Diceros bicornis minor: one gene and its partners. The protein of the gene in region 1 interacts with the protein of each later gene in a biochemical or structural test. Links are inferred from orthologs where the notes say so. Each region holds a gene or a part of one and is shown in the gene's direction. Other genes may lie near its edges.

Region 1 (7,472 bases):
GAAGAAGAGAAGGCTCAGGAGAACTTGAAGGGATTCTCCCAAAAGCTTAAGGACAGTCTTGGGGAAGAGGAGCTTTGCTTTGAGTGGCCTCAAGGGGGCAGACTTAAGATGCTTGGGTAGACACTTTAAGAACATGGATTTCAGTTCAATATCTGGATAGTTGGAGAAATATACACTGAAAAATGGAGCTGGCGAGCTTGCCTTCACTAAACATGGCTGTATAAGAGTTTTGGTGGCTGCATTGTGTAAGGAGCTGACTAGACTGTGAGATGTTTCATTCAGAACCACTAATATCCCATGCAGGAACATAACTCAATGATAATGGTAATATTCAGAATCATTCTTCTTTCTAAAGAACCAAGTTTTATTCCTTTTTTTCCTGTCAATTCAAATTAAAAATAAATTACTCATCATCCATGTTCAAAGTGTCCTTTCATACATGTGATCTAAGATAAATATGCATTCTACATATACATTTTGATTCAAAAATAAGATAACAAAAGTAATAGCTAACTTTAGGGGCCGGCCCGGTGGCGCAAGTGGTTAAGTGCGCGCGCTCCGCTGCGGCGGCCCGGGGTTCGCTGGTTCGGATCCCGGGCGCGCACCGACGCACTGCTTGGTAAGCCATGCTGTGGCGGCGTCCCATATAAAGTGGAGGAAGATAGGCACCGATGTTAGCCCAGGGCCGTCTTCCTCAGCAAAAAAAGAGGAGGATTGGCGGATGTTAGCTCAGGGCTGATCTCCTCACAAATAAAAAAAAAAAAAAAAAAAAAAAAGTAATAGCTAACTTTTCTCCAAGATAGCCTGTTAAGCACTTTACGTGCAATTAATCTTATTTAATGTTAATTTAACGAGATGATGCTGTACAGAGATAATATTAAAGACAGACATTTAAGACCATCATTTAGAAAGAAATCTACGGATGTTTCTCTGCTCAGAGGGTCATAAAGATGAAAGGAATCTTGTCTAAGCCAAGACCAGGATAAGATTTTCCTAAGCCACACAGCTACTGGTGCGAAGGCATCTCGTGGCACCACAGAGCCCTTAGTCCTATTCAAACATTGGTTCAGTAAATCAAAATGTGTTTTTTTTCCTGCTTGGCAGGCAGGAAACAACGAATCAGTGTCTTAACAGATTGACAAAATACGTAATTAGACACTATCAATCACCATAAAAGAGCCTGCTTTTTCTTACATCAGATAAAGGTGCATTTAGTCTACTAAGGACTTTCCAGTTTCATGAAGCATGAACTCCCTAAGGCCACAAATACAGTAAGCAGTGCTAGTCAAAGTCCTCTGCTAGGGAAAGAAACGAAAGAGTGGGCAGTGAAAACACGTGAGCCCAGGAGCAGACTTGGCTCCTAATTTTCCCTGCCCTCCTTGGACTGGATACTCGCTTCTACCCTTTAGTTTCCTCATTTGCAAACCGGAGGGAGAGGAATAAACTGAACGATCTACTATACTCTTTCCCGTTCTAGTTCTCTCTAATCCTATAGTTCTAAAAGGAGGTCAGGAGAAGACTCCTGGCGTGAAGACAGCATCTTGAAATTCCTACCAGCTTCATGATGCAGCAGAGATAGAGAGAGCTTGTCCATTTGGCAAGGCTGGTGAGCAGAGGCCTAGAACTTCCTCATTGACATAAGCAGTCTTCCCTTCTTGATTTAGTGTTTGTGTGTTTCTTAAAAGGTGTTTCCCCAAATATTAAAAGTTAAACTTTTGGGGCCGGCCAGGTGGCTCAAGCGGTTAGGTGTGTGCGCTCCGCTGCGGCCCGCGGTTTGCCGGTTCGGATCCCGGGCGCACACCGAGGCACCGCTTGTAGAGCCACGCTGTGGTGACGTCCCATATAAAGTAGAGGAAGATGGGTACGGATATTAGCTCAGGGCAAATCTTCCTCAGCAAAAAGAGGAGATTGGCATCAGATGTTAGCTCAGTGCTGATCTTCCTCACAAAAAAAAAAAAAAAGTTAAACTTTTAAGTGACTTACGTGCATACCTAAATGATCAATTAGTGTTTGTCCTAAAAGCATTTTCGTTCTTTTTCTTGTTATGGGAAGGTTAAACAATATGCTTGTTTATCCCATAGCTTCACAAACAGGAAGGAGGTTTTAAATGGCTCAGTTCCACGATTTGGGGTAGATGTATATTTAAAGAAACGTGTTGCATAACAGACACTCCTTCCTCCTAAAATGCATCATACCAGAGCCAATTTTGGAAAACACAAATATGGGGTAGTTATATTTTGAAAACTATGTGAACATAATAGAACCTTAATTAATATTTGTGGCTTTCTATGGGAAATATTTGTTTTGTAAGGCATCTGCCTTGCGAAAACAGTTTCTGCTAGTGAAGGAAGTTAAAAGGTGCATGTACGGTTAAATTTTGTTTCTGAGTTTTACTTCTAGAGTAACTGCCCAAGTTACTTCTGTCCTTTATTGTCCTGGTAGAGAAGACTAACAGCATATTCTAAACTACTAAGTAATTTACATAAAGTTCATTTATAACCCATATTTATGTCTCATTTATATGTGCCAAAGCACTTCTACATTTATTATTATATCATTTGATTCTCACTCAGCCTAATGGAAATGACTTTATTCCCCCTTTAGAGATGAATGAAATTAGGCCCCATCTTTGTCATTTGCCTAAGGAAAGTGAGCTAGAAAGTTCCGAGACAGGGGGATCTGCATCCTGGGTACTCCAATTCCAGTTGGAGTTCTTCCCAGTCCTCCATTCCTTTTTGTATATGATGATGCGGTACACTGAACAAATGAAAAGATGGGTTTTAGAGTCAGGTAGATCTGGGTTCACCTCCTGCCTCTGACCCTGTGCCCCTAGGCAAGATTTTTCCTCTTTGAGCTCCATTTGTGAATTAGGCTAAAAATAGTATCCCCTCTACCATGGGACAGTGGGAAGGATTAAATGGAACAATGCAGGAAGAGCACACAGCAGAATGTTCCATAAATGTTAACCATTGTTATGTTATTATGCAATCTACAAAGTATGTTTGGTTACACCACACGAATTACTTTCAGTTTTTCAAAGACACTACTAATACATGTGAAATCAAACCCTGAAAATTAATTTCTTTTTAACAGTGAAGTCATATGCCAGATGCCAAGGATAGTATTTCACCGGCAAAGATCCTAGTTTTAAGGCTTGGTCTGACTTTTGTTTTTTAAGGAGAAATTATCTTTTGCTTTCTGTGGTTTCCAAACAGTCGTAATGGCAACACATTCTTCATAGTCTGAGCCATATGAAAGTGACATTTTTTAAGTCAGAAACTGCCGATATGGCTCAACCAACAGATCAACAAACTACCCAGCAGATGAAAGGATTTTCCTACTTACAATGGGATTGCTGAAGTTGAGGTTGAAAGGAAAATTCTTCCATTTTCAATACATTTTCATTCCAACAGATAATGAGGGAATGATGCCACACTCACAAGAATTAAAAATTAAAGCATACAACTTTCTTTCTCTCGTCCAAAACACATACATGCACACCCAGCTCCAAATGAAATCCAAAGTGTGAAATTGTATGTCTCAATGCTTGCAAATTCCCAAGGAGGGCACCAAAAGTGCTTGATAGAGAGTGTGCTGAGGAAATCGGCAGCTGTTGAAGTCACCTCCTGTGGTCTTGCCAAATGTTTGAAAGGGTATATGCTGTGTGTCCGTATGTGTGGTGGAAGGGGGTGGGGAGGAGGTCGGGGGTGCAGGGGTGAGGGGTTTGGAGTACCTGGATGGGGACGTCCGTGTCGGTGGCGCTGTGCATGCCTCCAGAAGGAGCGTTTGTGTGTTGTTTACTTCTTTTTGTGTGTGAGCCCATGCCTTTGTGCTTCTGGGTGCCCCTGTGCTTGTTTCTGGCCGCGTATCTGTGTTGACAGGGGTGACTGTCGGTTTCTGTGCGCCCGCGCTCGTGTGCTCGTCGGTGCGCTGGACGGGTGTGTCTCAGCGTCGGTGGCTGTGGCTCCGTATAAGTCTGAGCATGTCTGTCGGGGTGCGTGTGTGCCTGTCCGTGCATGTCTCAGTGGGCACTCTGGTCTCTGTTTCCGAATGCGGGGGAGTGCCCGCGTGCTGCCCTCTGCTCTCAGACCTCGGGCCGCACAGGCCCCCACTGCAGACAGGTAGCAGCCACAGAAGAGCCAAAAGCTCTCGGGTTGGCTCGTAAGCGGGCCAGTTCGAGCTTCAGCCCTCCGGGACCAGCCAGGGTAGCCGGGAGGGAGTGGTGGCCCGCCCGTCCGCTGGGGAGCAGCCGAGCCCCGCCCGGGCCAGCGCCAGGAGTGGGTGGGAGAGGGAGGGGAGGGAAGGGGCGGAGGCCTCGCCCCTTTGGGGCTGCCGGCGCGCCATTGGCGGAAAGTTCCCGCACGTCACGGGGAGGGCAGCTCCCCTAAAGCCCTGTGCACATAACGGGCAGCGCACACTCCTAGGCGGCTTCTCCAGAGCGCAGGCTGAGACTGACAGGCACCGCGAGCCCAGAGCACCCCACAAGCTGAGTGCAGGACGCGCCGCAACCACACCCACCCCACGGCCGCTGAATGAGGCTTCTGGGCGTCAGCTCGCTGCCGGCAGCGCCCCGCCGGAGGTCCGCCCGCTGAGGCGCGGCCGGTGCGCTGGCAGCCAGTGCGCTCACCTGCCAGCCTGCGCGCCATGGGGCAACTCGGGAACGGCAGCGTCTTCTTGTTGACGCCCAACGGAAGCCACGCGCCGGACCAAGATGTCACGCAGGAACGGGACGAGGCGTGGCTGGTGGGCATGGCCATCGTCATGTCCCTTATCGTCCTGGCCATCGTGTTTGGAAACGTGCTGGTTATCACAGCCATCGCCAAGTTCGAGCGTCTGCAGACGGTCACCAACTACTTCATCATTTCCCTGGCCTGTGCTGACCTGGTCATGGGCCTGGCGGTGGTGCCTTTTGGGGCCAGCCATATCCTCATGAAAATGTGGACTTTTGGCAACTTCTGGTGCGAGTTTTGGACTTCCATTGATGTCTTGTGCGTCACGGCCAGCATTGAGACCCTGTGCGTGATCGCAGTGGATCGCTACGTTGCCATCACCTCACCCTTCAAGTACCAGAGCCTGCTGACCAAGAATAAGGCCCGAGTGGTCGTTTTGATGGTGTGGATTGTGTCAGGCCTTACCTCCTTCTTACCCATCCAGATGCACTGGTACCGGGCCACCCACAAGGAAGCCATCAACTGCTATGCCAAGGAGACTTGCTGTGACTTCTTCACGAACCAAGCCTATGCCATTGCCTCCTCCATCGTGTCCTTCTACTTGCCCCTGGTGGTCATGGTCTTTGTCTACTCCAGGGTCTTCCAGGTGGCCAAAAGACAGCTCCAGAAGATCGACAAATCTGAGGGCCGCTTCCATGCCCAAAACCTCAGCCAAGTGGAACAGGATGGGCGGAGCGGGCATGGACTTCGAAGGACCTCCAAGTTCTGCTTAAAGGAACACAAAGCACTCAAAACTTTAGGCATCATCATGGGCACTTTCACCCTGTGCTGGCTGCCCTTCTTCATCGTGAACATCGTGCATGTGATCCAGGATAACCTCATCCCTAAGGAAATTTACATCCTCCTAAACTGGGTGGGCTATGTCAACTCCGCCTTCAATCCCCTGATCTACTGCCGGAGCCCGGATTTCAGGATTGCCTTCCAGGAGCTTCTGTGCCTGCGCAGGTCTTCTGTGAAGGCCTATGGGAATGGCTACTCCAGCAACAGTGACGGCAGAAGTGACTATGCAGGGGAACAGAGTGGAGATCAGCTGGGTCAGGAGAGAGACAGCGAACTGCTGTTTGAGGACAACCCAGGCACAGAAGACTTTGTGAACCGTCAAGGTACTGTGGCTAACGATAGCGTTGATTCACAAGGGATGAATTGTAGTACCAATGACTCAGTGCTGTAATGCGGTTTTTCTACCTTTTAAGACCCCCCCTAACAAAACACTAAGCAGACTATTTAACTTGAGTGTAATAAATTTAGAATAAAGTTGTATAGAGATGTGCAGGAGGAAGGACATCCTTCTGCCTTTTTTTTTATTTTTTTAAGCTGTAAAAAAGAGAAAACATATTTGAGTGAGTATTTGTTTCTTGTACAGTTCAGTTCCTCTTTGCATGGAACTTGTAAGTTTATGTCTGAAGGGCTTCAGTCCCAGAGAACCTGGGGCTGCTATGTTGTGATGACTTTTCTGCATATCTACCTCATTGGTCAAGTATTAGGCGTAATATATTGCTGCTGGTAATTTGTATCTGAAGGAGTCTTTCCTTCCTGCACCCTTGGACTGGAGGATCTTGAGTATCTCGGACCTTTCAGCTGTGAACAAGGACTCTCCCCGCTCCTCTGATTTGCTCAAACAGGGTGTCATAGGCAGGGATTTGAGGGGCAGCTTCACTTGTTTTCCGGAGCAAAGTCTAAAGTTTACGGTAAATAAATTGTTTGACCATGACTTCATTGCACCTGTTTCTCCAAAACCCCTTGACTGGAGTGTGGTTCCTCCCCCACTGGAAACCGCAGGTAACTATTTGTAATAACTGCCCAGTGACTTAATATGGAATAACACAGGAATGACAAGCACTGATTGCTTAACCCTTTCATTTGCCTTTGAATCTGCAAACCTGTATCTCTCCTAACGCTAGGGCCCCAAATCAGTTCTGCCTGCCCCCAGCATAGCTTGTCTCACTTGTCCTACGGTTATTATTCTGTGTTGTCACATCAGAAACACTGACTCATAGAAATGGAGTTATGGACATCTGTTTTGTCCCTCCATGAACCCCACCACCCACCTTCCAGCTCTACTTGTTGGATAGCTGCTTATATTTATGTCTTTGCCATGTCTTAGAGTGGAGATCTTTGTACTACCTCAGGCTTTGGCATTTTAAGGATAAGGAAGAAGTTATTGTGAAAAAGCTACTCAAACAGAGCCCTGTAATTCCAAGGGAGAGTGAAAGGGCATTGGTCATACAGCGAAAGCTGGAAAATACTTAACTGAGGAATATCTCATGACCTAGAAACAGCATTATAAGCCCTCCTCCTTCTTTCCTTCTGTCCATTTCTTCCCTCTCCTTTTGACACTCCTCACTTCAGTATAAACCAATTTCTCAACCTTGGCACTATTAACATTTGGACCAGGTGATTCTCTGTGATGGGGGCTGTTTTGTGCATTGTCTGATGTTCAGCAGCATCCCTGGCCTCTACCCATTAGATGCCAGTAGCACCCTCTGAGTTGTGCCGACCAAAAATGTCTCCAGACATTACATTACCAAACACCTCTTGAGGGGTGAAATTGCCCCTGGTTGAGAACCACAGATATAAAGTTCAAAAATCTAAACAGATTTTTAGATCCTGTCTCATGTGACCATTTTATTTTGCAGAGCCTAAGAGAGGGATTTTTCAGGGTTCCTCTGGTTAGTGACAGATCCTGGGCCAATGCTCTCCCCGCTCCCTTATGCTGTCTTCCAAACTTACTTCCCAGCTGCC
Region 2 (7,156 bases), on another chromosome or scaffold:
CTGGACACCCCTCCTGGGGTCAGGGAAGCCCCCAAGCTCATCCTCCTGGATCTTCAAAGCCCAGGACGATGGAGATGGAGACGTGAGGGGCTGCGGTGCACTCCTGGGCCTTGGCACGTGCCAGTCCTCACTCACATTCACATGCACACAATGTCAAGTTCAAGACCTTCCCCATTCCTCCTCTGCCCTCTATGACCTTTCCCCAACCCTTCCCCTGACCTTCTCCTGAGTGCTCCACCTCCTCAAATCATAGCTCTTGCCGGGTTAATTGGAGGTATATGTTTAGGGGTCTTCTTCCCCACTGGACTGGGCCACCGCTGAATCCTGTTTCTCTTTGCAGCCCTAACCTAGTGCTGAGTGCCATGCTGGTTGTGAGGGATGCAGTAGTGACCATGACAAACAGGGGCGCCAAGGGAGAGCCCTTGAGCAGGAACCTTTCAGCCCACGAGATGCAGGGTGAGCAGGAGCCCACCTTGCCGGAAAGGAGGGGAAGGACATTCCAGACAAGGGGAATTATGAAGTCAGGACCCCAGAGGTGGAAATGAACTTAGCTTGTTATAGTGACAGAAGGAAGACCAGAGAGACTGGAGACTAAGGGGCCCGGGCATGAAGTTGAGTTAGAGAGGTAGGCAGGAGCCAGACTGTGCGGGTCTTACAGGCCACAGAAAGGGGGCTGGGTTTTATCCTAAGTGCAGGGGCAGCCATCGGAGGTGGGGTTTGATTTAGGCCTGTAAAAACTCTGACTAGAGGAGAGGCGGGGAGCCCTGAGAGGAGGCTGGTGCAGGCATCAGCACCAGGCGGGAAGTGATGGGATTCGGATCGGGTTTAGCAGGGCACAGTGGAAGGATTCGGAGTAAACTTTGGAGACAGACACACCAGGGAGTCGACAAGACAGGCTGGATGAGAGCATGTGTATGTGTGAGGCAGGGCAGGTGAGGGAAGACAGGAATCAAGGATGACTCCTAGGCTTTTGGAAGGTGGAGGAGCCACGACTGAGATGGGGAGGCGGGAGAGCAGCGGGTTGGACAGCGGCTGGGTGGTGGGAGCAAGAGCTCAGTGTGGGACGCGTTAAGTTTGCAACACCTATTAGTCATCCAGGGGAGATGCCAGGTACTGATGTGTATGTGGGTCTGCCAGCTGGGCAGAGATGGGGTTCCACCCCTCTTTCACTCCCAACATCCCAGCCGGAGGCTGGCACAGTCTGGGCAATGACAAAGGTTTGCTGAGACAAGGAATGACTGAAGCCAGCCTGAAAAGACAAGTTTACAGTTGACCTTCCTTCAACCACCAGAGGGCAGCACCATCCAAAAAAACCAGCCTCCCCAGGCCATGGACTGGCACCAACCTCTTCCCAGCCCAGGGCTTCAGGAGTGGCTTTCCAGGATCCCAGGAATCAATGAGGGGTGCCCTGGACACTGGCTCTTTCCAAAGTCCCCAGGCTTCAGGCTCACCAGGGCTGCAGGTTGGGCTGTGGGTGGGAGAGGCAGTGTGGGTTTTCAGGCGGTGGGGGGAAGGTAGGGCCACCTTCTGGAGCAGGATGGCTGGCATTTCAGAACCAACGGGGATTCTGGTTTGACAAGTTCATCAGGCAGAATTTTTAAAATAGGAGCTGCTCCAGAAAACCCAGGTCAGCGTGTGGCTGTAATCAGAGTCCCAAAGAGTTGAAGAGTCAGGGCGGGGCAGGAGGGAAGGTGAGAGGCCTCCTGTTGTGGCATCCTCATGTGCCTCTGGCCCTGTTCTGCCCCAAACTCCACGTGCCACCTTGGGCTGAGGAGCTCATTCACTCAGTCAGTCATTCATTCATCAAACATTGACTATGCCTTTCTGTGTCAGGTCCCATGGTGGGAACTGGGGGCAAAGAGATGAACTGGGAGCATCAGTTACAGTGGGAGATGGTAAATACTTTTTTTTTTTTTTGGCACACATTAGCATTTCTGACATCAGGGTGCATTTTCCAATCCATGCAAACATGTTATAAAGCTTCACACACACCCAGTGTCTAAACTGGAAATGATGCATCTTGCAGTTGATGATGTTTTCAAATCAAGGAAATAGGTGGTAAGTGTAGAATTGGAGATGCACACAATGGGGGTCAGGGTGTTGGGGAAGGCTACCTGGAGGAGGTGGGTCTTAAAGGATGAGCAGGAGTTAGCCAGGAAGAGGGCACACAGAGGGCTTCCAGGCACAGGGAAGGGCAATGGCACAGAGGTAAGAACTGGTGGGTGGGCTGGTAGGGGGACCCTAGGTGCAGAGGATGGTGGCGACACAAGCTGGAAAGGGGAGCAGGGCCCAGGCATCCAAGACCCTGACTTGCAGGTTAAGGAACTTGTTCACCTGATCTGCTTTGGGCAGAGTGGGGGTGTCCCCCATGCTCAGCAGCTCCAGAAGGCCTCGAACACTGCTTCTTGGTGCTAAGCAGGCAGTAACTCCATGAGATCTAGATGTGGGAGCGGCATCTCTGGTCAGGGCCTGTATCAGGGCAGCAGCCATGGGGATGCTGAGAAGCAGACAGGTTCAAGAAGACAGGTTCTCAGGAGGCCAGACAAGAGGGTATGGTGATAGATTAGGGCAGGGGGAGAGAGAGGAGTCAAGGATGATGCCCGGAGATCTGGCTTGGGTATCTGGGTGGATGGTGGTGTCGCCCACTGAGAAGGGGACCTTGCCATCTCTGATGTGCTCTGGTTCCAGACTCTGCCAACGCTGATCTCAGAAGGTAGCCTGAGAGGTGTACAGGGAGGGGGGTCCCTGCTTTGCAAAAGGGTCCTGGTTACTGGCCCACAAACTGTCATGAGGCTTGGGCTCCATATGCCCGGGACTGGGAGGGGATCTTGTCACCTTGGAAAGCAGAGAGAGGCTCTAGAGAGGGGCATGTTGAGATAGGGGGTGCTGCTTTGAGACACATGGATCCCCCTACTGTGGGCTCTCAGCAGAGGATGTTTCCCTTACCAGGCAGCACTGAGACCCCTGTGCCCTCCCAGGCTAAGAGAGGTTTGAGCCCGTCTTGTGGAATCATGATGATTCCATCATAATGCCATGGATGGCCTGGGGTGCAGGCCAGGACCTGGGTCTACAAGCCAGTCCAGGGAGGGTAGGGGTTGGTTCAGGTTGTTTGGTCCCGAGTGGGAGTCCTGGGGTCAGGGTTGGGTCTGGAGCAGGAGGGGTAAGAACTGACTGGGCTAAGTCTGGAGTTGTCATGTCCCAGGTTCATGGCCACCTGTTAAGGGTTCTAGGTCCAGTCTGGGTCCTGATTGGATGTCCTGGTCCTGGGTCCCCGTCCAGAGTTCTTGGTGTTGGGTCTAGGACCCTGGTCTAGGGTTGACAGTTCAAGTCTGGATCTGGGCCCTGCCCCCAAGTCCAGGGTTTAGGGTCACGGTAGTGGTCTGGACCTGGGGTTGGAATCAAGGTTGGGGTCAGTAACCAGGATGGGATCCAGGTCATGGTCTGTGGCTGGGATCAGTGTTTGAGGTCATGGTCTAAAATCTGGATCTGGGGTCCTGTTGGGGGTCTGGGGTCCGTGTCAGGGTCTGGCTGTGGAGTTGGGGACCCCAGGTTGTGATCCAAGGTTGTGGTCAGAGTCTGAGGTGGTGGTCCAAGGTTTGGGTCTAGGGTCCTGTTTGGAGTCTGGGGTCAGGAATGTTATCCAGGTCTTATGTCACGTGGTGGACTGCGTCCAAGGTCAGGGAGTCAGGGGTTAAAGCCAGGGTCTGAGACCCAAGTCCCTGGGATCATGTTCTGAAGTGCCAGTCTGGGGTCAGGGCCGTGGTCTATCCTGGAGTCTGGGATCCGAGCTGGGATCCGAGTTGCGGTCAAGGTCTGGGTCTAGGGCCTCCTTCGGTGCCGGGTCCCTGTCGTGTTCCAGGTCTGGGGTCAGGGTCACGGCCCAGGCCCGGGGAGGGGTCGGGTCTGAGTTGGGGTCCGGGCGGCCACGGGGTCAGGCTCGGTCCGCCGCACGGCCTCCAGGGGGCGCCGCCGCCCGCCCGCCCTCCCGGCCCTCGCGGGTTCGCTGGCGCTGTGCGCGGCAGGCGGGGCCGGAGGCGGCGGCGGCTCCGGGGCGGCGGTGGCGGCGGCGGCGGCGGCGGCGGCCCGACTGCAGTCCCGGCGGGAGCGGAGCGAGCCGGGGCCGGGCCCGAGCCGGCGCCATGGGGCGGCGCCGCCTGTGAGCCGCGGCGAGCGGAGCCGCGGGCGCCGAGCGGGGCCGGGCGGGCGGCGGCGCCCGAGGCCGACGGAGCGGCCGGGCCGGGCCGAGCGCGCCGAGCCGAGCGGAGCGGAGCCGAGCCGAGCGGCGGGAGAGGCCGCCGCCGCCGCCAAGATGGCGGACCTGGAGGCGGTGCTGGCCGACGTGAGCTACCTGATGGCCATGGAGAAGAGCAAGGCCACGCCGGCCGCGCGCGCCAGCAAGAAGATCCTGCTGCCCGAGCCCAGGTGAGGCGGCGCCGGCGCCGGCCCCGGCCCGCGCCCGCGCCTGCGCCCGCGGGCGCCCTGCCCGGCCCCCCGAGCCGGCGCCCGACCCCCAGCCCTCAGCCCCAGACCCCCCAGGCGCGAGCCCGGGACCTCTCAGCCCGTCCACCGCCCCGGGACCCGCAGCCCCGAGCCGACCCCGCAGCCCCAGGCCCCGTGCACCTGAACCCGGGCGCCCCAACGCCGGGGCTTTCCTGCCCCGCTGGCTCCTCGAGCGCTCCGTACCCCCCGCCCCGCTCTACCCCCCTGTCCCTTCCTCCACTCTAGCTGGCCCTCATCTCTGTCGGCCCCTGCTCCTCCCTTCTCCCACAGGGGCCCCATGCCTCCCTTCATCCTCCTCCGGGCAGCCCGTGCTCCCCGTGGGGTCCCCTCCTCCGGCTGCCACCATCTACCTGGCCTGACTCTATTGCCCATCCTTTTACTGCCTCTATTCTGGGCACCCCCCTTGGGGTTCCACTACCCCTACCCCTAGCCCCCTCTGGTCAACACTTGTGTGAGATCTGGGGGAGACAAGTCTTCCGGGGTCTTCTGCACCCTTCTGGTCGGTCGCTGGCTTGGAGTGGGGTTTGAGAGTGCTTTGGGGGCCAGGGTGGTGGTGAGGAGCAGGGTGTGGTGTGTGCCCCATCCCAGTGGGAGAGACGCCCCCTGTCCCTCTCCCCTCGCATTCCCCCTCTGGTGGGCCCTGCCTGTGGTGCCCTGTGGGTGCTGTTTGCAGGGGAACATCCCAGAACCCTGCAGCAGCTGGACCAAGGCTGCCCCCTCTCCATGAGACATCTGATGTCATCACACCTGGTATCAAAGTTGAAACTGTTCAGGATGTAGTATCAGAAGTACACAGGATACGGACGATAGCTGAGGCTTGTCCAGCGTTTTATGGCTTCTAGAGTATTTGCTCGTTGTTTGAGCCTGACAGCAGCCCATGAGGAGGTAGGACAGGTGTGGTTTTGTCCCCATGGCACAGGTGGAGAAGCTGAAGCCTGCCCAGTGTCACAGGTAATCCAGAGTGGTGCCTGGCCCCCAGATCAGGGCTTCCGGCTTCTAGTTCCATATTGTGTCCACCACTCTGGCGTGAGCCGGGGCCTGGCCGTTCTGCATCTACGAGAGCCGTGTGCCCACCACGAGTCCTCATGTCATGTGGCCAGGCCAGTCCCAGCACGACCTCCATACCTGCCTGAGAGTTGGCATGCTGGTGCCTGGCTGGCCCGGGAGCCTGGGCCTGTGCTAGGTGTCATGGTCTTATCATGTGACTTTGGGCAAGTCCCTTCCCGTTTCTGGGCCTCGGTTTTCTCATCTGTGAAATGTGGATGGTGTGAAATAATGGCTGAGACTGTGCGGCGTTCTGAGTCTTTGAAGCAGGGCCCGAGGCTGCAGGGGGTGCCATGCTGATGTCTCCGGTTCCCCCGTCCATGCCTTGTTCTTGCTGGGTTTCGGGTTGACTGCACACCAGGCCTGGGAGAGGAAAATGGGTCTGCATTTTGAAAAGGTCGTTAGAGCCCTTTTTTTCTAAGACATTTGCAGTCAGATTTCTCAAAACAGGAACCAGACTGACTGTTAGCTGGGGGCTGTCCAGGGAGCGGCAACAGTTAGAACAAAAATGAGTTCAGAAATGACAAAGCCACGAGGGAGGAAATGGGGGAAGTCAACCTTTGGGGTTCTCAACGGCTCTCCTTGGTGGCCGCGGCCTTGAGACCCTCCTGCCGGTTGGAGTTCTGCAAAGTGTGAGGCGGGGCCTTTTCTGGAACTCTCTGCCTTTGGGTAATCTCTCCCCAGAATGCATTGCTCCTGATGGGGCCCCGCCTTGGGTTGGCCATGCAGGTGTTAGAACCCTGAGAAACGAGGCGTTCCTCTTTTCCTGTCCCCTTTACCATCCGTGGTAGTGATGGTGGCGACAGGAGTGATGGTGGAAATTATAATTTATTATTTATTTTGACATCTGTCATCTCAGTTGATCCAAAACTCAACCTGTGAAGTTGGCAAGGCTGTGCCTTGCGTGTAGTAGTTGCTCAAGAACTATCGGGACTGTGTGGTGTCAGAAGCCAGGTGGACTGCGAGTTTTAGGGGAACAGCAGGAGACGGGAGCCAGGTGTCATGGGTTCTCATATAGGGTCACCATCTGGCAGCACGACCTTGGGCAGATTGCCCCCATCTGTGAGGTGGACCAGAGGCTCTAGCAGTGACTGACAGTGGGCTAAGGACAGGGAAGGGCCAGAGCCACTCTGTGCAGCAGGCCGGGGCTGGCCCTGGGAGTCCAGGTCTCCTGCGTTGGAGGACACGTCACCCTTTGCTTTATGCTTTGCACACCCAGTGGGTCAGGTGCCTCCTGCCCTGGGAGGTCATCATGACTGTATCTTGTGTTTGCCTGGCACGTCCCAGTTTGCTTTTTACTCCATTTTATCCTTTTCACAGCTGTGGGCAGCAGGCACAGCAAGTGGTATGCTCCCATTTAATAGTTGAAGCAACTGAGGCTCAGAAAGGCGGGGGGGGGGGGACACACTTGGTCACAGAGACAAGCTAGAATTTGAACGCGGGTCTCTGCACCCCCAGGGGCTCTCTCACTGCTGTGCTTCGTTTTCTCCACACACGCCTCTGCACCTCTGCTCTCACCCCCTCCATGTTTTGTGGAATGTGCCAGCTGGCCTCCCTCCTCTGGGGAGCTGGGGGTCTGGGGAGGTGGCCTGGAAGCAGCAGGGCAGCCCCC
Region 3 (7,981 bases), about 25 Mb from region 1:
GCCACCCTAGAGCCTCTCCACCCCAGGAAGCCACTGGAGGGTTCTGAGCAGGAGAGTGATGGGATCAGGCTGATTATTTTTATTTTTTAATTTTATTATTATTATTATTATTATTATTATTATTTGCTGGGGAAGATTGGCCCTGAGCGAACATCTGTGCCCATCTTCCTCTATTTTGTATGTGAGACGCCGTCACAGCATGGCTTGATGAGTGGTGTGTAGGTCTGCGCCTGGGATCCAAACCTGCGAACCCTGGGCCACAGAAGTGGAGCACGTGAACTTAACTATGCCACTGGGCTGGCCCATGATTATTTTTAAAATAAGCAATATCTTCACAGGATGCAAGATTAAAAGTCCAAAAGGGTTTATGATGAAAAGCCTCCCCTCCCACACCTGTCCCCGGCCTTTTAACTCCCCCTTCCCAGAAGCAACCAGTGTTCTGTGCCTCCTGTGGCCTTCCAGAGGCGGGCCATGCATGTAGAAGCAAATTCGTCTATAGTAGTTAGTGTTGTTCACCAAATATTATTTCCAATTCTATTCTCCTTCCAGGCATATAGTAGTTATTCCAGGAATCTATCTCTGCGTAACAAACCACTCCTAATTTAGGGGCATAAAACAACAACTTTTTTTTTTTTTTTTGGTGAGGAAGCTTCGCCCAGAGCTAACACCTGTTGCCGATCTTTCTCTTTTTTCTTGCCTGAGGAAGATTAGCTCTGAGCTAACATTTGTGCCAATCTTCCTCTATTTTGTATGTGGGTCGCCGCCACAGCATTGCTGACAAGTGGTGTAGGTCCGCACCTGGGATCCAAACCCGCAAACCTGGGCTGCCAAAGTGGAGCACACCGATCTTAACCACTACACCATGGGGCCAGCCCCAACAGCAACCATCTTATTATGCTCATGGGTTTTGCAGGTCAGGAATTCAGGCAGGACACAGCAGGAATGGCATGTCTCTGTACCACAGTGCCAGGGGTCGCAGCTGGGGATACTTGAATGGCTGGGGCTGATTCCAATGGCTAGGAGCTGGAATCACCTGGAGGCTTCCTCACTCAAATGTCTGGTGCTCGGGTGGGACAACTGGAAGGCTGAGCTCAGCAGGGACTGTTGAGCAGAGCAGAGCACCTACACGTGGCTTTTCCATTCAGTGTGGGCTTCACACAGCACGGCCGCTGATTCTGAGGGAACATCCCAGGAGAAGCTTCTGGAGAATAGGCATTACGAGAAAACAAGGCTGCATGACTTTCCTGACCTAGCCTCAGACCTCACGTGCATCACTTCCACCAGATTCTACTGATGCTGAGAGTCAGTAAGGCCAGACCAGAGTCAAGGACAGGGAAATGAGAGCCCATTTGTTGATGTGGGGGTGTCAAGGTCACACTGAAGAAGTGCCCGTGGGATGAGAGCTTATTGTGACACTCATCTTTGGAAAATACCATCTGCCACAGCAGTGCTGTACCTCCCCACCCCTTTTGAGTTAGTCGTGACCATGTGGTTTGCCTTGACCAATGAAATGTGAGCAGAAGTGACTTGTGTCACTTTCGGGTGCAAGCTTTAAAGGCCATTGTGATTCACCACATTTCTTTTTACTGTCTGCCATTGTAGAAGCACAAATTGAGATGGAGCCCCCTCATCTTGAGTCCCTGATTGACCGCCCTGTGTGGAGCCTCCCCACCGCCCAACAACGTGTGTTGGACTTGCCGTGTATCTGAGAAATACACTTTGGTTGTTTTAAGTCACTGAAATTTGGGGATTGTGTGTTACTAGAGCATAACCTAGCCTATCCTGACCCTTTTACACAAATGGTAGCGAACCTGACACACTGTTCTGCACTTTGCTTTTTCATTTAACAATACATCTTGAGGATTGTTTATATCAGTACATAAAGAGCACTCCCACACGTTTTTAAAACAGCTACATAGTATTCCTGTATAGAAAAGGACTAAATTTTACTTAACTAGTCCCTATAAAGACAATTAGTACGTTTCATCTTTTCGGACAATGCTGCAATGAAGAAACTTGAACATTCATTTCTTATTTTGCTTGAGTGCAATTATATTTGTAGCATAAGTTTCTAGAAATGCATATCTCAGAGAGTTGGTGGCAGGTTTCCCTTTTAAAAAGGATCACTTGGCTGTACGGCGAGAATGGGTTGAAGAGTCAGCATCTGACAGCTGTGCATGACACCTTTCCCTCCTCACCTCATATCAATTGCCATGTCCTGTTCACCCCAGCTCCATGAGACCTCTCAATCTGGCCACTTGTCTACATCCCCTGGCCACTGCCCCAGCACAGGGCACTGTCATTCCTCTCTCGAATGGCTCCTCTTGAAAGGTCTTCCACTTGTCTTACTCAGGATATTTGGCTGCAAACAACGAAGCCACTCTGGGTGACTTAGGCAGACAAGGAACTGATTGGACAGCTCCTGGGTGCTTGCTGAATCCCCCTACCCAGGAAGAGCCTGGCTTGACCACATCCACCTCCCCTTCCACTGCCTCCATAATGAATCCTAAATGGTCCGTCTGATGTCTTATGTTAATCACTTGCTTTGGATTCATAGAGCTGATTGGAATCATTGGAAACATGCTCCAGCTACCAGGGACCTTGGAGAGGAAATTCTGCCTCCCCTCTGACTTCCCTAGTGGAAGGCAGGGGCTGTCTCTGCATTTCATAGGTTTCCTCCCAAAAGAAAGGGGTGTTCAGATGCTGAACACCAAAACAACAGGTGTCTACAGGTCAGCCTAAGCCCTTCACTCCTGACCTTTGACCCCATCCCTAGCACATCTTCCACAGTGTGGCTCAGAGCCCTCTGTGTAAGCAAATCTGATCACACTACTCCCTGACTTAAAAAACCCTTGACAGCTCCCCACTATCCTCAAAATGAAGTCCAAACTCCTTACCCGGCTTCCAAAGACCTTCCTGATCCAGGCCACTCCTAAGGCCTCAGCCTCATTTTTTGCCTCCCGTGCCCACCCCAATGTGTACCTGAAACTGGTCCAAGGCTCTGCCCCCGGTGCAGGAGCCCTTACCACCTTCCTCTACGGAGCTTTGAGTATGTGCTGGCCCTCTGTCCAGAAGTCTCTTTCCCCCTGCTCCAGTTATCTCTGAAACCTGCATCTTCTCCCCCACCCCTCAGGTCTCACTCGACACAGCAGCCTTCACTGGGTGAGGTGCCTGCCTTTTGTCCCACTGGCCACTGGGTTCTCCTCTTTCAAGGTACTTATCTTTACTCCCATATGCGTCCTAGATGCATGCACTTTTCTTCATCTCCACTGCCACTCTCTTGGTCCAAGCCACCATCCTCTCTGTCCTGGAATTCTGTAGCCTCCCAACTACTCTCTCTGCTTCCAGTCTTGGCCCCCTAAAAGTCCACTAGCTAGAGTGATCTTTTTAAATCTAAATTATTCTTTCAAAGGCTTCACATTTCACTTAAGAAAAACAAACTCCTTGCTATGGTCTACAAAGCCTTCCACGATCTAGCTGGGATCCTTGCTCCTTCATCTCATCTCAGACCACTGGGCTCTGAAGTTACACAGGCCTTCTTCCTGTTCCTTGAACACACCAAACTTACTCTAGGCTCAGAGCCTTTGCACCCGCTGTTGCCTCAGCTTGGAACTGTTCCCCTAGGTCTTTGTGTGGCTGGATCTGCTCAAATGCCGCACTCTGAGACCATTTCTCCTCACTCTGTATTTTGTCTTAATAGCACTTATCACTCTTGGAGACTATCCTATTTATTTGTGTATTTACAGGATTATCACCTTTAGTCCCCTCTAGCATGTGAGCAGGGAGCTTGGCTGTCTTGCTGACACCACTGTATTCCCCAGCACTTGGCTTGGTGCCTGGCAGAAAGCAGGTGCTCTGTATTTTTGGATGAATGAATGGATAGAGATCAGAGAAGCCTAGTTGAATCCAACTCTGCCTTACTCGCTGAGTTTGGGCAAGCCTCCTTTCCTGGTGTGTGAAGTGGGGGTGGAGAGAGTAGGATGCTGAGCTAGAAGCTGTTAATTAGCTGTAAAATTTCGGCCTGTTTTCTCCCTAGTCTTCGGCCTGGAGCCAGCCACTGGACCTCTGGCGCCTCAGTTCCCCACCTGTATAATGGGTGTGACCTCATCCCAACGTCTCGGGGTGGTAGCGCTGCCTTATAAGGCAGCAGAAGCCGAGGGCGGCCAAGGCCGTGTGGGTGGAGAGAAATCACAACATCCGGCTGCGGGGGCGGGGCGAGGGTGCCTGCTGCGCCCAGGCCAGAGGCCGGAGAGCCGCGGGGGAGGCCGTCAGCCTCCTCCGGGCCTCTCCCCGCTTCCGACGTGTGCCCTCCAGTATGGGCCGACCCAAAGGAATACGGCCGGACACATGGCCCAAACAAGCTCGCAGCAGGCCCGCAGGAGGCCCAGGATGCCAAGTGTGTCTCTACAAACCCTACAAAAGCCAAGGCGAGCTCAAGGGACCCGGGCCACACCCCATCTGATGGCCCAATCAGAGTGCACTGCTGAGAATGACTGACGCTTCCAAAATCCAATCAAACTTCCGGCCTCCGGGGCGTGACCCAGAGGACCCACCTCTGGTGTCCCAGCGGAGGGCTCGGCCCTAATTGGCAGTTCGGTATCCTATGAAGGCCCAGAAATTCGAACCTAGGGGCTAAACCCCACCGCAGACCAACCAGGAAGCGGTGACGTATTAAGTCCCGCCCCCCTTCTCCTTTGAGCGAATCCCTGGCTCGGGGGGCGGGGGAAGATGAAGAGGCTGTCTAATGGGAAGACGGCGCGGGGAGCGCCCGCTGGGTTATTGGCCGAGTAAAGTAAACAGAGGGCGGGGCGGGGCGGGCCGGCGCCGGGGTGGCCCCCGGGAGGGGGCGGAGAGTGCGCGGCGGGCGGCGGCGGCCGGGGAGGCCCGGGAGGCCGCGGCGCGGTCACTGCGAGCCGAGCCGAGCCGAGCCGCGCCGATCGCCATCCGGCCCCGGCTCCCGCGCGCGATCCCGCCGGCGGCGCGGCCCGGCGGGCCCGGCGGCGCCGCAGCCCATGGAGCTCGAGAACATCGTAGCAAACACGGTGCTACTCAAGGCCCGGGAAGGTGAGGCTGCCGGGCTGCCGGGCGGCCGGGTGCGGGAAACGCGGGCGCGCGGCCTCCGACTTTGGCGGGGCGCCCCGGCCGTCCGAACCCCTCGGGCAGCGCGCCCCCCACCCCGCGCGGACGCGAGCCCTTCCGGCTGGTCGTCCTCCTCCTCCGCACCTGCGGGGGCCCAGGAAGGGGCGGGGGTCAGGCCGCCGCCCTCGCGGCGGGGGGGTGAGGGGTGAGGGAAGGAGAGAGGAAGGAAGAGGGAAGGGTGGGACCTGAGCCCCGGGAGAGCCTCTCCGAGGCGTCTCCCAGATGAGAGGTTCGAGAAGATGCCCCAGGAAGGGGCAGCCTGCCCCACGTGCCCCGGGCCTAGACCCCCGGGTCCAGCCCGAACTGGCACCAAGTTGGTCCAGAGTAAAGGCTGCAGAATGAATGAACGAACGGAGCCTCCGCCGTAACAGAGCCCACCCGACTTGGGGAAACTGCTGGTCACATATGCTATCAGTACAACTGCAGTTGCTGGGTGCCTCAGGACACTGGGGACAGAGGTGACTGGGTAACAATTTTTGCTCTCAGGAAGCCCACAATCTAGTGGGGCAGACGGGTAGAGAAATAAGTGGCAGCTGAGCTTTGAAGTAAGAGAGCGTGCTGGGCATGCAGAGGGAGCCGGTCTGGTGAACTGAGTGTGTGCTGGGCTCCTCATGGCTCCCAGCCCAGATGTTACCAGGCACCTGCTCTATGATAGTCATGGGGGACATGGAAGGACCAGACCTGGTCCTCGCTGCCTTGTGGTCAGTTTGCCCTTCATCTGCCATTGTCCACCTCAATAACAGAATAACCCAGAACCCACTCTCTGCCCTGTCCTGTCCAGGGTGCTGGAGTCCCAGCATTGAACAAGACCCTTTTTGGAACTGTAGGGCAGGGAGGTCATGACAGTTTTTCCATTCTTTGCTGGCCCTCCAGGCTGAAAGAGTCACTGCTTCACCTTTCTGCTCCATTTTACAGGTGGGAAACTGAGGCTCAGACCAGGGACTAGTCCCTAGGTCACACAGCCACACTGTGGTTGACTCAGGCCTGGGGCGCAGGATGCCCCCAACACAGTCTGTAGGAAGCCCAGAGGAGCCCCCAGCTGGCACAGCATTGGGTGCCCCCTGCCTGCCCAGTGCATGTTGACCTCAGGGAGGTGCTGCCTGGAAATGGGCATGGCAGACTGGGTCCTTAGTGCCCAGAGCCTGACTTATCTCCTGTCCCTTATCGAGTCCCGGGGCTGGGCCTTCCTCTCAGCCTCTGGGGGCGTCTGTCGATTCTATTCTGCCTCGTCATCCAGCCAGCCAGGGAGGAGGGGTGGGGAGAGCCTGGCCAGGCCTCCCTCCCTAGGGCTGTAGCCAGTTCAGGCCTCCGGCACTGCCTTGCCTGGCCAAGGAGTGTGGGCACCTTCAGACAGGCTTCCTCAGGCGCTGAGTGAGGCGTAGCAGGGTATGGTCGGACTGAGGACTGTGCCTCCACTGGATGAGCCCTTGCCCCGACCTGTCTCTGCCCTTTCCACCTGCGTGGCTCTAGACAAGTCTCTTCTCTCTGAACCTCAGTAACCCTTTTTGTGGAGTGGTTGGGGACAGGACATGAAAACTAAAGGAAATCCCAGTTGTCACCAAGTCCCAAACCCTGGCCCCTGGACTGGCTATGTCGGAATCCCTCCGTGAACTGGCTGACAGCTCGGGGCCAGGCTTTTGCCAGCTTCCCAAGTGATCTGAGGCCCTAAGTGGTTTGGGAACCTTTGGTGTATGTATTCAGTTGACATCTAATAGATGCCCGGCATGTTTGGGGTGGGGAAGGAGATTGGGTATTGGTCCCAGGGAGCTGGGTTCGAATCTTGCCTCTGGCACCTCCAGACTTTGGATCTTGGACAAACTGATTCTTCCTTTCAGGGCCTCAGTTTTCTCATGAAATTGGGAGAGTTGCTGGGAGGGTGAAGTGGGACAGCACTGGGGGTGTGAGCCCTTGCTCATCCTTCCTTTCCCAGGTGCCCAGAGGCACAGGGAGGGGGCCAACCTAGGGTGCGGAGGAGCCCCACTGACTCTGGTGGCAGTTCTAGGACAGGATATTTGCATGTGACTCTTTGCTGCTGCCTTGTTGTGGCTGGGAGGAGGGGGAGGAGGAAGTAACTGGTGGGGGGAGGCAGGCGGATGGAGGGTTGGGTGAGGGACCTGCGGGGGTGAGGGAGGAGTTCCCCTTCTGGGGAGGCCTTGCCCGGGTTGGGGGTGGAGGGTCTGTTGCTCACTCACAGTGGAGCAATGATGGGGGGCTGTGCTGGGTGCAGGCTGCAGGAGGGCTGCTAGCAAGTTTCCCAATGGGTGCCTTGTGATACTTCCTCCTCCAGGCAGCTTAGGTCAGGGAGCCTTTTGAGGGACCCAGCCCTGCCTGCTCCCTAGAAGAAGGCCCCTCCTCCTGCACCACCTGCCTTCAGGCTGGCTAAAACCAGAGGGGAAACTGAGGCTGGGCAAAGGAAAGTGATTCCCTGAGGTTCCCACTGAGTTGTTGGAGCGGGGGCCCACTTTGCCACAGCCCTACTGAGTGCTGGACACAGACTCTCCCAGTCACCCACTACCTCCGGAGGTGGCTTTGGACCCAAAGTACACATGGAGAAATTGAGTTTCACAGAGGGCAAGTGATGGGCCTAAAGTGTGAATTGGAGATTCAAACCCAGGTCTATGAGACTAAGACTCAGGCCCCTGCCACTGTTCTCAACCTTCTGGCCCACAGGCCACATCTTTCTAGCTCTCTAACATGTTTTATTTATTTGGCTGCAGTGGGTTTTAAAAAAAATGGGAAGCAATATTTCATGTAACAGTCCAGATAACCAGCTGCTTTTGAAAAATCAGAAGATCTGGCCACACTGAGCCTGCATTCCTGCCTAGCAACAATCAAGCAATCA

The links.
Region 2: the proteins of ADRB2 (region 1) and GRK2 form a complex in vitro, tested with the Homo sapiens proteins (2 studies listed by BioGRID, with this or other methods). The link is inferred for Diceros bicornis minor from reciprocal best matches to the Homo sapiens genes ADRB2 and GRK2.
Region 3: the proteins of ADRB2 (region 1) and GRK6 form a complex in vitro, tested with the Homo sapiens proteins (2 studies listed by BioGRID, with this or other methods). The link is inferred for Diceros bicornis minor from reciprocal best matches to the Homo sapiens genes ADRB2 and GRK6.

Annotation. Positions count from the first base shown.
Region 1 is NC_080740.1:66,047,567-66,055,038, forward strand, and holds the start of ADRB2 (beta-2 adrenergic receptor), read left to right. Parts: upstream 1-4,418; 5' UTR 4,419-4,644; coding exon 4,645-5,901; 3' UTR 5,902-7,472. UniProt on the Homo sapiens protein: Beta-adrenergic receptors mediate the catecholamine-induced activation of adenylate cyclase through the action of G proteins. The beta-2-adrenergic receptor binds epinephrine with an approximately 30-fold greater affinity than it does norepinephrine.
Region 2 is NC_080770.1:6,236,407-6,243,562, reverse strand, and holds the start of GRK2 (beta-adrenergic receptor kinase 1), read left to right. Parts: upstream 1-4,104; 5' UTR 4,105-4,309; coding exon 4,310-4,422; intron 4,423-7,156. UniProt on the Homo sapiens protein: Specifically phosphorylates the agonist-occupied form of the beta-adrenergic and closely related receptors, probably inducing a desensitization of them. Key regulator of LPAR1 signaling.
Region 3 is NC_080740.1:90,637,869-90,645,849, forward strand, and holds the start of GRK6 (G protein-coupled receptor kinase 6), read left to right. Parts: upstream 1-4,919; 5' UTR 4,920-5,012; coding exon 5,013-5,064; intron 5,065-7,981.